Nothobranchius furzeri: one gene and its partners. The protein of the gene in region 3 interacts with the protein of the main gene of each other region in a biochemical or structural test. Links are inferred from orthologs where the notes say so. Each region holds a gene or a part of one and is shown on either strand. Other genes may lie near its edges. The genes, in order: bmp7b, bmp4 and bmpr1aa.

Region 1 (3,660 bases), on a different chromosome or scaffold from region 3:
AAATAATAGAAATGTCATCATATTATACATAAAAATACCTGCACATACTAAAATGTGCAATTTTTTTGCAATATGCACAAAATGGCTACTAATCTAATATATATATGTATATATACATATATATATATGTATATATATGTATATATATATATATATATATATATATATATATATATATATATATATATATATATATACACACACGCACACAGAGGAAATAATCAGAAGTAAAATAAATAAAAGCATTACTGATAGGAACTATAAACATGCAGATATGTTACTACATGCCAGTTTGTGACATTTATTACAAAATCTATCAGGATATTTGTATAAAGCCAGTATGTACAGCTGTTAACAGAGATAATTTGGTTGTATTTGTGTTTATTACATTCTTTTTTTCAGCATACAATCCAGCCTTTAATGTTGAGGTGAACTGTCCCTTTAAGTTCGTCGAAGTCCTGTTTGGTCACACATCATCAACACGAGATGCACAAACCACTCTGTGCGGTGTGTTTTTGCAGCTTTTTGACACAGTGCACCCCCCATCCCCATCTGTATGTACAGTACGTGTTCTGGTGAGGGCGCTGACGGTCCTAGTGGCAGCCACAAGCTCTGACCACCATGTTGCGGTATTTCTTGAGGATTACGTTGGAGCTGTCATCGTAGTAGAGCACGGAGATGGCGTTGAGCTGTGTGGGGACACAGCAGGGTTTAGGAACCGTTTTGGGATTGATGAAATTAACCTGGAAATCAAAGGAAAATCAGATATTAAAGTTATATTTTAGCAATTCACTTTGTTTTATAGATCACCGTAAATGTGTGGCATTTGTTAGGTGTCGTGTGACAATAAAAAAATAAATAAATAAGACTGATCACACTGGAAACTTTCAGGCTTATTAAACACAGAATGTTGTGACCTGAAACCACAGAGTAAAAATATAATCTGCATTTATCAAATGTTTTATCACCTGGCGAGATTAATAAAGTCTAAACAAATCTTTTGCATTTTATTCTTTGGTTTTGTGGTTACTCACAAGTGTTTGCATAATGGCATGGTTTGTGGCATTCATGTAGGAGTTCAGAGGGAAGGCGCACTCTCCTTCGCAGTAATATGCTGCATATCCATCTGGAGCAATGATCCAGTCCTGTGGGTGGATGGGGCAGACAAGGTATTTCATCTGACTGGTTGGTTAGTATAAATTCACTCAATAGGAACCTTTAGTGCTAACCCACGTAGCTTACACTTTAGCATGTCTGCAAAATGATGGTTACTATTTTCATCGTTCATGTAAACGAGTTTTCACACTGAGACGACCCAGTCATGACTCTTGCCAAGGAAGCTTGCCTTAATGTCTTGGTCCCTTCCCGGTTGCCTAGGAGATACATCATCAGGAACCGCCAAGGCGTGTTCCAATGTTCATGTTCTACCAAGGCATCTGTTCTCCGTTCGTTAGCCGTTTAGCTAGCTGAGCAAGGATACACGGAAGGTGTCTTGTAGCCTAGCCTTGGTCAAACATTTCCCAGAATACACCGCAGTATTTTCAAAAGGATGGAAGAGAAGCCGGCAGCTACTTCGGGGGCAAATTTCAAGTTTAAATGTAAGTCAACTAATTGTAGCTATTGGGCTGGTATCTGAAATATTTTATTTAGATCCAAAGAAGTTAGCTATGGTGGGTTAGATGCTAGTAGCTGCTGCTTCGGTGGTTAGCAGGTATAGTAACCCGCTTACATATTTAATTTGACAAATATATACTCAATTTTTAAAGTGAAAGGCTCATTATATATTATAATGAAACTTTTACGTATAAAATATAACGTTATCTCCCGTGTCACATGACTGCCACAGAAGCTGCGGTCACGTGATGCAAGTCTGTTCCATTTAGCTGTTTTCTTTGACCAAGGAAGGACAGTGTTCTCAAAAGCAAGGCACCTGGCCTCGCTAGGCAATGTCTTGCGAGGCCAGGCGCCTTCAAACTGACATGCACCCTGTCACTTAGAGACCTGAGCTATGGTGTCCACTTTGGGACATTCTTATGCATCAAGAAATGTCTTGCGAGGCCAGGCGCCTTGAAATTGACATGCACCCTGTCACTTAGAGACCTGAGCTATGGTGTCCACTTTGGGACATTCTTATGCATCAAGAAAACATCTTAAAATTTGAATATGGAGCACGGACACTCTGGTGACATCTGGTGTTGAGAGGTGGTATTGCAACAACAGAACACATTTTCCAGCCTTTGGGGTGTTGGTTCACTGCTGAAACGTTATGGGACCAGCCAGCACCATGTCCAGTGGCATATCGTACAGGGTAAGGGCTCATTTCTACTAATAAGTTTCCTTTACAATAGTATTTAACATTAGAACATCTTCTGGGCTCAGAATCAGCTGCTTGACTTGACAGGGCCGCCATTTTACACAGTCCTAGCCTCTTGCTGAGTGGACCTTTCAGTGCAACAGTTCCCCCTAGAGGCTGGTAGATGTAAACATAAGCTTAGCGTTGTGCCGACAAAATTAAAATTTGATTATTATTTTTTTAAATGTAGCTTTTAAAGGACATTCATTCTGCACCCCTCTAAACGCCCCTTGAAGGTATCTATTGTTTAACAATATAGCTTTTTATTTAAAATGTTCCATATTGCAGACTCATACCTCTGCTTGTAAATGAAAAAGTACCAAGTATCAGGTGAAAATGGCCTTTTTCCAGATACTTGATGCATTGTTTGTCCAAAGTATCTTTTGGTGGCATTTTTCTTATCTTTTTGATATTACAAAACATTTTATTCATTCGTTGTGAAAGAAGAAGTGTCTTTGATGAAGTGGTTCTGTACCTGCCATTTCAAGTCTTTGAAACTGACGTAAAGCTCATGCTTCTTACACGCCTGCATCTGATCAGAACTGCTGTTTTCTGGGGAACAGAGAGAAAACAATGTTTTAGGGCAGGTAAACCATTACACTATGATGAAGAATTAACCTTCAAGCCACTGTTATCCAAAAAGAAATTAACAATAATTATTGGTTGAAGAAAATCACTTCCACATTTTAGTGAGGATTTCAAACAAACCGTAGCATTGCTGGGATTTGAGTGTCTGAGACACATCTGTACAATAATATAGAGTTTGGTAAAATTCATAACTGAAGACTCATTTCAGCATTCCTTCTTTCTTTTTACCAAGTGCAAAAAAAAAGACATATCTGTTTTCTATCCAGCAGTATCTTTCTGCTCCTCTGGTGACCATGGAGGCTCTGTGGTACATTAGTGCTTGAAAGGAGTTCACATTGGAAGTGATTATGAGGGACTGGTTCTCATCATGAAGCTAAAGACCACTGCTATCCACAGTTCCAAACAGTCCCATTTTGGCCCATGTGTCTGGACCCCGGTTGCCCCACAGCACGCCACAGATGTGCTCTGCCATAAAAGCCTGCGGTGCCTTACCTTCATGCAGGGAGCTTGGCCCCAAATGCTGTGTAATGCTTGAGTAAATAAACAAAGACAGCAGATGGATATTTGAAGCTGTACAGTCTAATGTTTCACATAAACACAGCTCTCTCACACCTCCTGGACAAAGGCCTGCAATATACGTTAAATGTTTCATTGCCATCTGAAGTGTAATACTTGGATATTTGTGTGCAGAGGAATCAAATAGTGAATGTTGCTCAACT
Region 2 (2,560 bases), on a different chromosome or scaffold from region 3:
GTAATAGGGGAAGACCTTAGAATAAACCAATTTTAATTTTTTTCTGAAATAATTTAGGCAAAGATGACAAAAAACTAGTTTTATAAAATAGAGCTAAAATTATTTAAGTCACAAGTGTTTTTTTCTATCACAAACAATCATTTAAAATTAGGAAATTGTACCAAAATGTAACTATTCTGACCACTTTGTATAGCACCTTTTAGACCTTGCATCTTATTAAAGCATGAAATAAATGTTGGCAGTTTTGAAGCACAAATTAAGCATTAATACATTATTGTTACCCTGTTATACTACATTATAACCCTGTTATCCAGGATTATTATAAAAAAGTAAATAAGATTTTTCTCACTTTTTCCCTTCTTTTTAAATGGCTATGGATCTAAGTTAAATAGTGGGATTTTTGGGGGCTAAAATATTCCATTTTAATAATTTGACCAATTGATTATAAAAACAGAGCTACATTTTTTTTAGCAAATACAAAGAGTGCATGTTATAATATAACTAAATGTGAAAGATATCCATGTTTTATTTTGTTGCATAACATCAAAGTAGTAAATATTACCAGTAAATAAAGAGTTTTTACCATTTTCTCCGTCAAAAAAGACAATCTAATATACATTATGACAAGTAAAACAGCTTTTTTGTGTTTAAAATAAGAATTCAATTTATTTTTTATATGTAGATATAAATATATATATTTTGTCAAAATATATGATCATATTGTCAAGAAACAAATTAGTGAGACAAACGTACACCTCATAAAAGTTATAAATAAGGGTCCAAGTGAACATTTTGGGAGACAAGAAGTTGTAATTTTTTTGGGGGGGAAGGGCTTCCACATTATTTTGTTTGAGTTGCCACTTTGAGTCCAGGTTGTAGTGAGTTTGCGCGCTAGCGGCAGCCACAGCCCTCTACCACCATTTCCTGATAGTTTTTTAGGACCACCTTGTCGTGTTCGTCTAGGTAGAGCATGGAGATGGCGCTGAGCTCAGTTGGTACACAGCAGGCCTTGGGAATGTTGCTGTTCACAGAGTTCACCAGTGTTTGAACAATGGCGTGGTTGGTTGAGTTTAAATGATCTGCAAGAGGAAACGGGCAATCCCCGTGGCAGTAAAAGGCCTGGTAGCCAGGGGGCGCCACTATCCAGTCATTCCAGTTTACATCGCTAAAGTCCACATACAGTGAGTGACGCCGGCAGCTGCGTTTGCGCTTACCGCCCTTTTTGGTGGGGCTGCGTTTGGTCCGCCGGGTTAGCGGGTGACCCTTTCCGTCATGACCAAAAGTAACCAGAAGAGGGCGTAGCTGCTCCCAATCCTCTCCGGGTTTTTGGTGTACAGAGCGGCTGACACGGACATGGCGGCCCTGGTGACTCGGAGTCTGGTTGAGGTGCAGAACCTCCACAGCCAGTCCGTGATTAGAGAGGCCCTCGCGAGTCCAGCGCAGCACGGCGGGGCTGACGTCGAAGCTCTCCCATTGTGACACATTGTGGTGCACGAGCCGCGTATCCAGAAGCTGCGTGATGAGCTGCCCAGGCCGCGGGGCTTTCAGCACCTCGTAAACATTTATCCGGTGGAGGCCCCGGTTGTCTGAGAGGCTGTCCGCGATGGCCTCATCAATCTGATGCCGGTAGAGCCTTAGTTCTGCGGACGACAGCAGCTCATCCTCTGGAATGCCGCTGAGGTTGAACAGGAAGCGGATCGGCATGGATTCTCCATCACCCACCTCATGGATCCTCTCCATGTGCTCTGAAAATGAGCAACAGGAATAAGTGTGGGATGTTTGTACAGATCAGATGTGCAGAAAGGTCACCTATACAACATGTTAAAGGCTGCTCTTTGTACTTTAGGGTTCCGGGGATCAGCACCTTCCTGGTGTTTGGATCCCACCTAATCCTCCACTTTCTCATTCTCAGCTAGATTTGATTGACACAAAATAACATTTTTTCACACTTCTCAAGGCCCCTGAGACTAAATACATAACCTTCAGGCTTCTTCACCTGCCTTTAAAGATTTTCCTGCCCTTCTCTCAATGCCATTCTTTGAGCACTTTGCTGAGACATAAATTACAAGGAGGGTGGTGATTAACGTACCACAACTACAGCATAAACACAGTGGAGGCTCCCTGTTCCACTCACAGTCTGCAGATTTCTGGCAAGATCACCATTGTTGGGGAAAGGAATGTTGTGTCTACTATTTTCCTGCTCAATCCACCCCTGTTATTTCACACCCAGGCCCTAATCTTACCCAGGTGGTTCTCATTATTAAAACCTGCTGTGCTTTTGATTAGCTCTGCAGTTTGTCCACTTAAGACATTTATCATTTTCATCATGAATAATCATTAAGGAGTCAGACAATACAGTAGAATCTCATTTATCTGAAGCCCCTGGGAAAAGGAGGCATTGCGTGGGAATGCTGTGCGTCCGAGAACTGAAACATTTTCAAAATGCAATCATCTGTTTTGTCTGCTCCGTAGTTAAATTGGAGAATTATTATCAAAATGTGTGATTTCTGTTCACACCTGGTCAATAAAGGATATCATCTTCCTGCCATAAACGCACCTT
Region 3 (4,175 bases):
GGTAAATTCATAAGGCACCAAACCAGATGCTGTACAAACAAAACTTTTAACATTTATCATTAGATTTTTCCTACTCAGGGCACTTTCCTTCCTTATAGAGACGTGTGCACATGCACACAGAGCCACAGCAAGCACTGCGTCCTGCTAAACTTTTCACTTTAGAGGTTAGCTTAGCACAATGACTGGTAGCAAAGGGGAACTGCTAGCCTGACTGCGCTGAACAGCTTTACTTCTGTTGGCATATCAAGTCCAACACATGGAGTGTTTAATAGGTGAACAGGGCTGTAACTGTAAGTGTGCTGAACCAGGCTAAATGATCAACTAGTCCTGATGTGTTAGCACCTTTGTGGTGATGAAACTGCAGGTGATGGTGAAGGAGCAGCAGCTGCTAACTATACTGTAGGTAATTTAACCCACTTTAGTTTGTCTGCTGGTTTTAATTCAAATCTCACATCTTAAATAGAAGCATCGCAGTTCAACGCTTAAGAGCCCGCAACCATATATGATTAACTAGAAGGGTGGGCGGGGCTTTATAAGGAACCCCACCCCTACACGTACCACTTGATCTGAGACACATGGACAGGAAATGAACAGACTGTAACAGGACGGAGGACGTCTCCTGTTGGAGTCAGCTGGACTCCAGAGATCTCAGGTAGAACATTTATTTACACGTTCAGGTCACATGTTCTCAGAGTACCTTAGAAAGTTCCTACTGAAGATGGAGATTGGTTCCTTTACGGCTCAGTCCTGAAGAGGAAAAACAAAATGTGTCTGTTCCTCTCATCTCAGTAAGAAGATTTGTTATCGTCTCGTTTGGCTTTCATAGAAAGCATCACGCCTGGCTGTCTCACTCCCAATGAGGAAGACAAAAAAAAAAAAAAAAAAGAGAAGGAGGTACACAGTTCAACTCTGAGGAAGGCCCTGTTTTATCTCCCAGTTTCTCCTCGAGATGAAAGAGGCAGCATGGCAGAACCTATCCAGTCTGATCCGGTCCGGGTGGAGCGACTCAAGTAAGTCTGGAAGGGAAGGACGGTCAGATTTTGATGTCCTGGGACTCCACCATCTTGGCAAGCGTCTTCTTCACTCTGAGGATTGTAAGGCGGGAGGCGGGGTTATGGGCCCAGCACTCTGACATCAGCTTCAGCATGGCTCGAAGGCACTGTGGAAACAACAGAAATTAATGAAACTGGTTTGGTCCTCTGACAGTCACTGAAGGCAACATCTAGGTGACTCATTGGGATTCATTCCATCTACAGAGGAGTCTCACCTCATCGCTGTTCCAGCGATTGGACACAGTAGGCCGAAGTCCTTTAACACAAACCACCTCCAACATGTCCTCATAGGAGGGGTCAGAGGGCACCATGTCATAATACGGCAGCTGGTAGTCCTCCACAATACCTGAGCAGAGAGAAAGCAGGCTCACTCAGCTGATACACAGAAGACCAAATATGTACAAGGAAGTCGGGGGTTTCCGAGCCCGTTGGCTCTGCCGATGAGACAGGACGTAGATGTGAGACAGAATTATGTGTATGAAAGACAGGTGTTAGAAGTAACCAACCCAGGGTCAAGTGTCCAGAGCCATGAGCAGTGCTCAGGGGAGCTGGTGGTGAGGTCTGCTAGGATGTATGATGGCAATGAAATACAAGCCAGAGCGGAACATTTACATTTTTTATCAAGAGTGACCAAAATGGACAGAACATCCATTTTCAGTGTTTTTTTAAAATGTTGTTGTTGTTAATCTGTGTACCTAATGTTCCATTTTAGTAATGGTCTGAATGAGTAAGGCATGGTGGTGCAGTGCCCCCCCAAAAAAAACAAAAAAACAAAAGAGAATAATATAAAAACCTTGAACTTTGGTATCAGTGTTCAGAACTTTGGGCAACCTCGACTGGCATGTTTCAAAGTGATTTTTAGGTCAATAAAATAAAAATAAATATAAGGTATGCTCTGTGAAAAGCACAGTTGTGTGTGTGTGTGTGTGTGTGTGTGTGTGTGTGTGTGTGTGTGTGTGTGTGTGTGTGTGTGTGTGTGTGTGTGTGTGTGTGTGTGTGTACCTCCGGTGATGCAGCGCCTGGTCATCTCCCAGACAACAAGGCCATAGCTGTAGATGTCCGCCATGATGTATGCCTGGAAGTGGTTCTTGTTGAGGCTCTCATCCAGGACCTCAGGGGCCATGTAGCGCCTCGTCCCCACCCGGGTGCTCAGAGGGATGTCCACCTCGTTTGTGTCACTATGGCAAGCCGAAGAAGCTTTTATAATTTAGTAAGGACTGAAATACGTTTACAGCAGCTTAGTCTTTCATTCAAACACTACATCAGATTTGACACCTTTACAGGTTAGGATATCAGAGGAAAACAACAAAATCACCTGTTGTATTTGACGGCGAGACCGAGGTCGGCAATGCAGCAGGTGCCGTTCTTCTTCACCAGGATGTTCTTGGTCTTCAGGTCCCGGTGGGCGATGGCTGGCTTGCCCTGCGTGCCATAGATCTCTGTGTGCAGGTGGCAGAGGCCGCAGGCCACCGAGTAGGCCAGCCGCAGCAGAACCTGAACGTCCAGCGTGGTCAGCTTCAGGTAGTCGTACAGGGAGCCGCTCTCATGGTAGTCTGTGATGAGGAAGAGCTGCGTGGAGGCATCCGAACCTTTGATGTCTGCAGCGATGAACCCTGCAGGATGAAAGTTAACAGATGAGCATAAATGTCACAGTTGTCTGATCATCTGCTTTAGAACTGATGTGGCAAGACTACCAAGGATGTTCTCGTGTCTCATCAGAACTGTCTGGTAGATCTCTGTCTCACGGAACCAGCTGGCCTCTTCACGGGTGAAGAAGACTTTGACAGCTACCTTCTCGCCCCTCCACCGTCCCAACCACACCTCTCCATAGCGACCTTTCCCAATCTGACGAACCATCTGGATCTGCTTGGCAATGGTCCGCTGCACCTGAGAAGCACAGATAACACAGAATATCATGTCTTCATCCGCCACTGTTACTTCTGCATTTCCTCCTGATCGTCTTTTTCTCTTCTAAGCAGCTGTGATGCTTTTGTTTTACGTTTTCTTTATGTTTCCAGACTTTATAACGTGTGTTTTTTAATGCTTCAGTTTGAGTTAAGTAACTTTTTTGCTCTTGTTTAATTACACCAAGAATATAAACCCACTTTTTACTGCTGTATGACAAGGATTAGACTATATACATATCATATATTAGGTTTTATAACCAAGTTTTGCTAATATGGAGGAGATGAGCGTCTTGTTTTGTTCCTACCAGCAGGGGGAGCCCCGAACCGCTGCCAGAGCTCTGTGACTGATGAATGAGGTCTTTGAGTGACTCGCCATCTCTGATGAACACTTCCTGTTCTGTGTCTTTGGGATATCGTTCACGTTCAGTCTGCAGCTTGTACCTGTTAAAACACACACACACACACACACGCACACACACACACACGAGTAAGTCCTAAAAACATCTGCAGGAAATGTTTGGATCTGGTCTTTTTTCCTGATATGGGCATTTAGGTGTGTGTTTATGTATAATAAATATGAATAACGTTGGTTTTGAGGAGAATTATTAGATGATTTTAGTTCTGATTGTTGGTTTAATCATAAAATTATTTAATATCTGAAGAGTTCTAATCCTGGATTATTGGGGTTCTGATATCCATCTTTAATCAATCGAACATCTTCAATATTAAAATAAATGTAAATGATAAATGACCTGCACTTGTATAAGACCTTTCAGAGCCAGAGGACTCCAAAGCGCTTTGATCTACAGTGTATCATTCACCCAGTCACACCAACTTGGTCACTGGTACCCACAGAAGCCCTTTTTAAAGAAAAAGTAATAAAAATAAGACTTGCAGACTCCTGCTGACAATAAGCTCTAGACATGAAGCCGTCTCTTGGACGAGAGGTAAAACATCTTCAAGATAACAAGAAAAGTCCTGTTGTTTTCCTGACGTTGTTACCAGATGATATTACATATGTTCTTTTCCGGATTTGGTTAACTGGTGTGAAATGATGCTGTTGTTACACGATGTTACATGCTGTTGTTACACGATGTTACATGCTGTTGTTACACGATGTTACATGCTGTTGTTACATGATGTTACATGCTGTTGTTACATGATGTTACATGCTGTTGTTACACGATGTTACATGCTGTTGTTACATAATGTTACA

Evidence for each region.
Region 1: the proteins of bmpr1aa (region 3) and bmp7b form a complex in vitro, tested with the Homo sapiens proteins (2 studies listed by BioGRID). The link is inferred for Nothobranchius furzeri from reciprocal best matches to the Homo sapiens genes BMPR1A and BMP7.
Region 2: the proteins of bmpr1aa (region 3) and bmp4 form a complex in vitro, tested with the Homo sapiens proteins (3 studies listed by BioGRID and IntAct, with this or other methods). The link is inferred for Nothobranchius furzeri from reciprocal best matches to the Homo sapiens genes BMPR1A and BMP4.

Annotation. Positions count from the first base shown.
Region 1 is NC_091755.1:56,414,156-56,417,815, forward strand, and holds the end of bmp7b (bone morphogenetic protein 7b), read right to left. Parts: intron 2,906-3,660; coding exon 2,829-2,905; intron 1,146-2,828; coding exon 1,035-1,145; intron 744-1,034; coding exon 594-743; 3' UTR 455-593; downstream 1-454. UniProt on the Homo sapiens protein: Growth factor of the TGF-beta superfamily that plays important role in various biological processes, including embryogenesis, hematopoiesis, neurogenesis and skeletal morphogenesis.
Region 2 is NC_091758.1:25,529,187-25,531,746, forward strand, and holds the end of bmp4 (bone morphogenetic protein 4), read right to left. Parts: intron 1,746-2,560; coding exon 892-1,745; 3' UTR 509-891; downstream 1-508.
Region 3 is NC_091752.1:44,595,750-44,599,924, forward strand, and holds the end of bmpr1aa (bone morphogenetic protein receptor, type IAa), read right to left. Parts: intron 3,401-4,175; coding exon 3,265-3,400; intron 2,940-3,264; coding exon 2,747-2,939; intron 2,666-2,746; coding exon 2,368-2,665; intron 2,231-2,367; coding exon 2,055-2,230; intron 1,399-2,054; coding exon 1,268-1,398; intron 1,160-1,267; coding exon 1,034-1,159; 3' UTR 612-1,033; downstream 1-611. UniProt on the Homo sapiens protein: On ligand binding, forms a receptor complex consisting of two type II and two type I transmembrane serine/threonine kinases.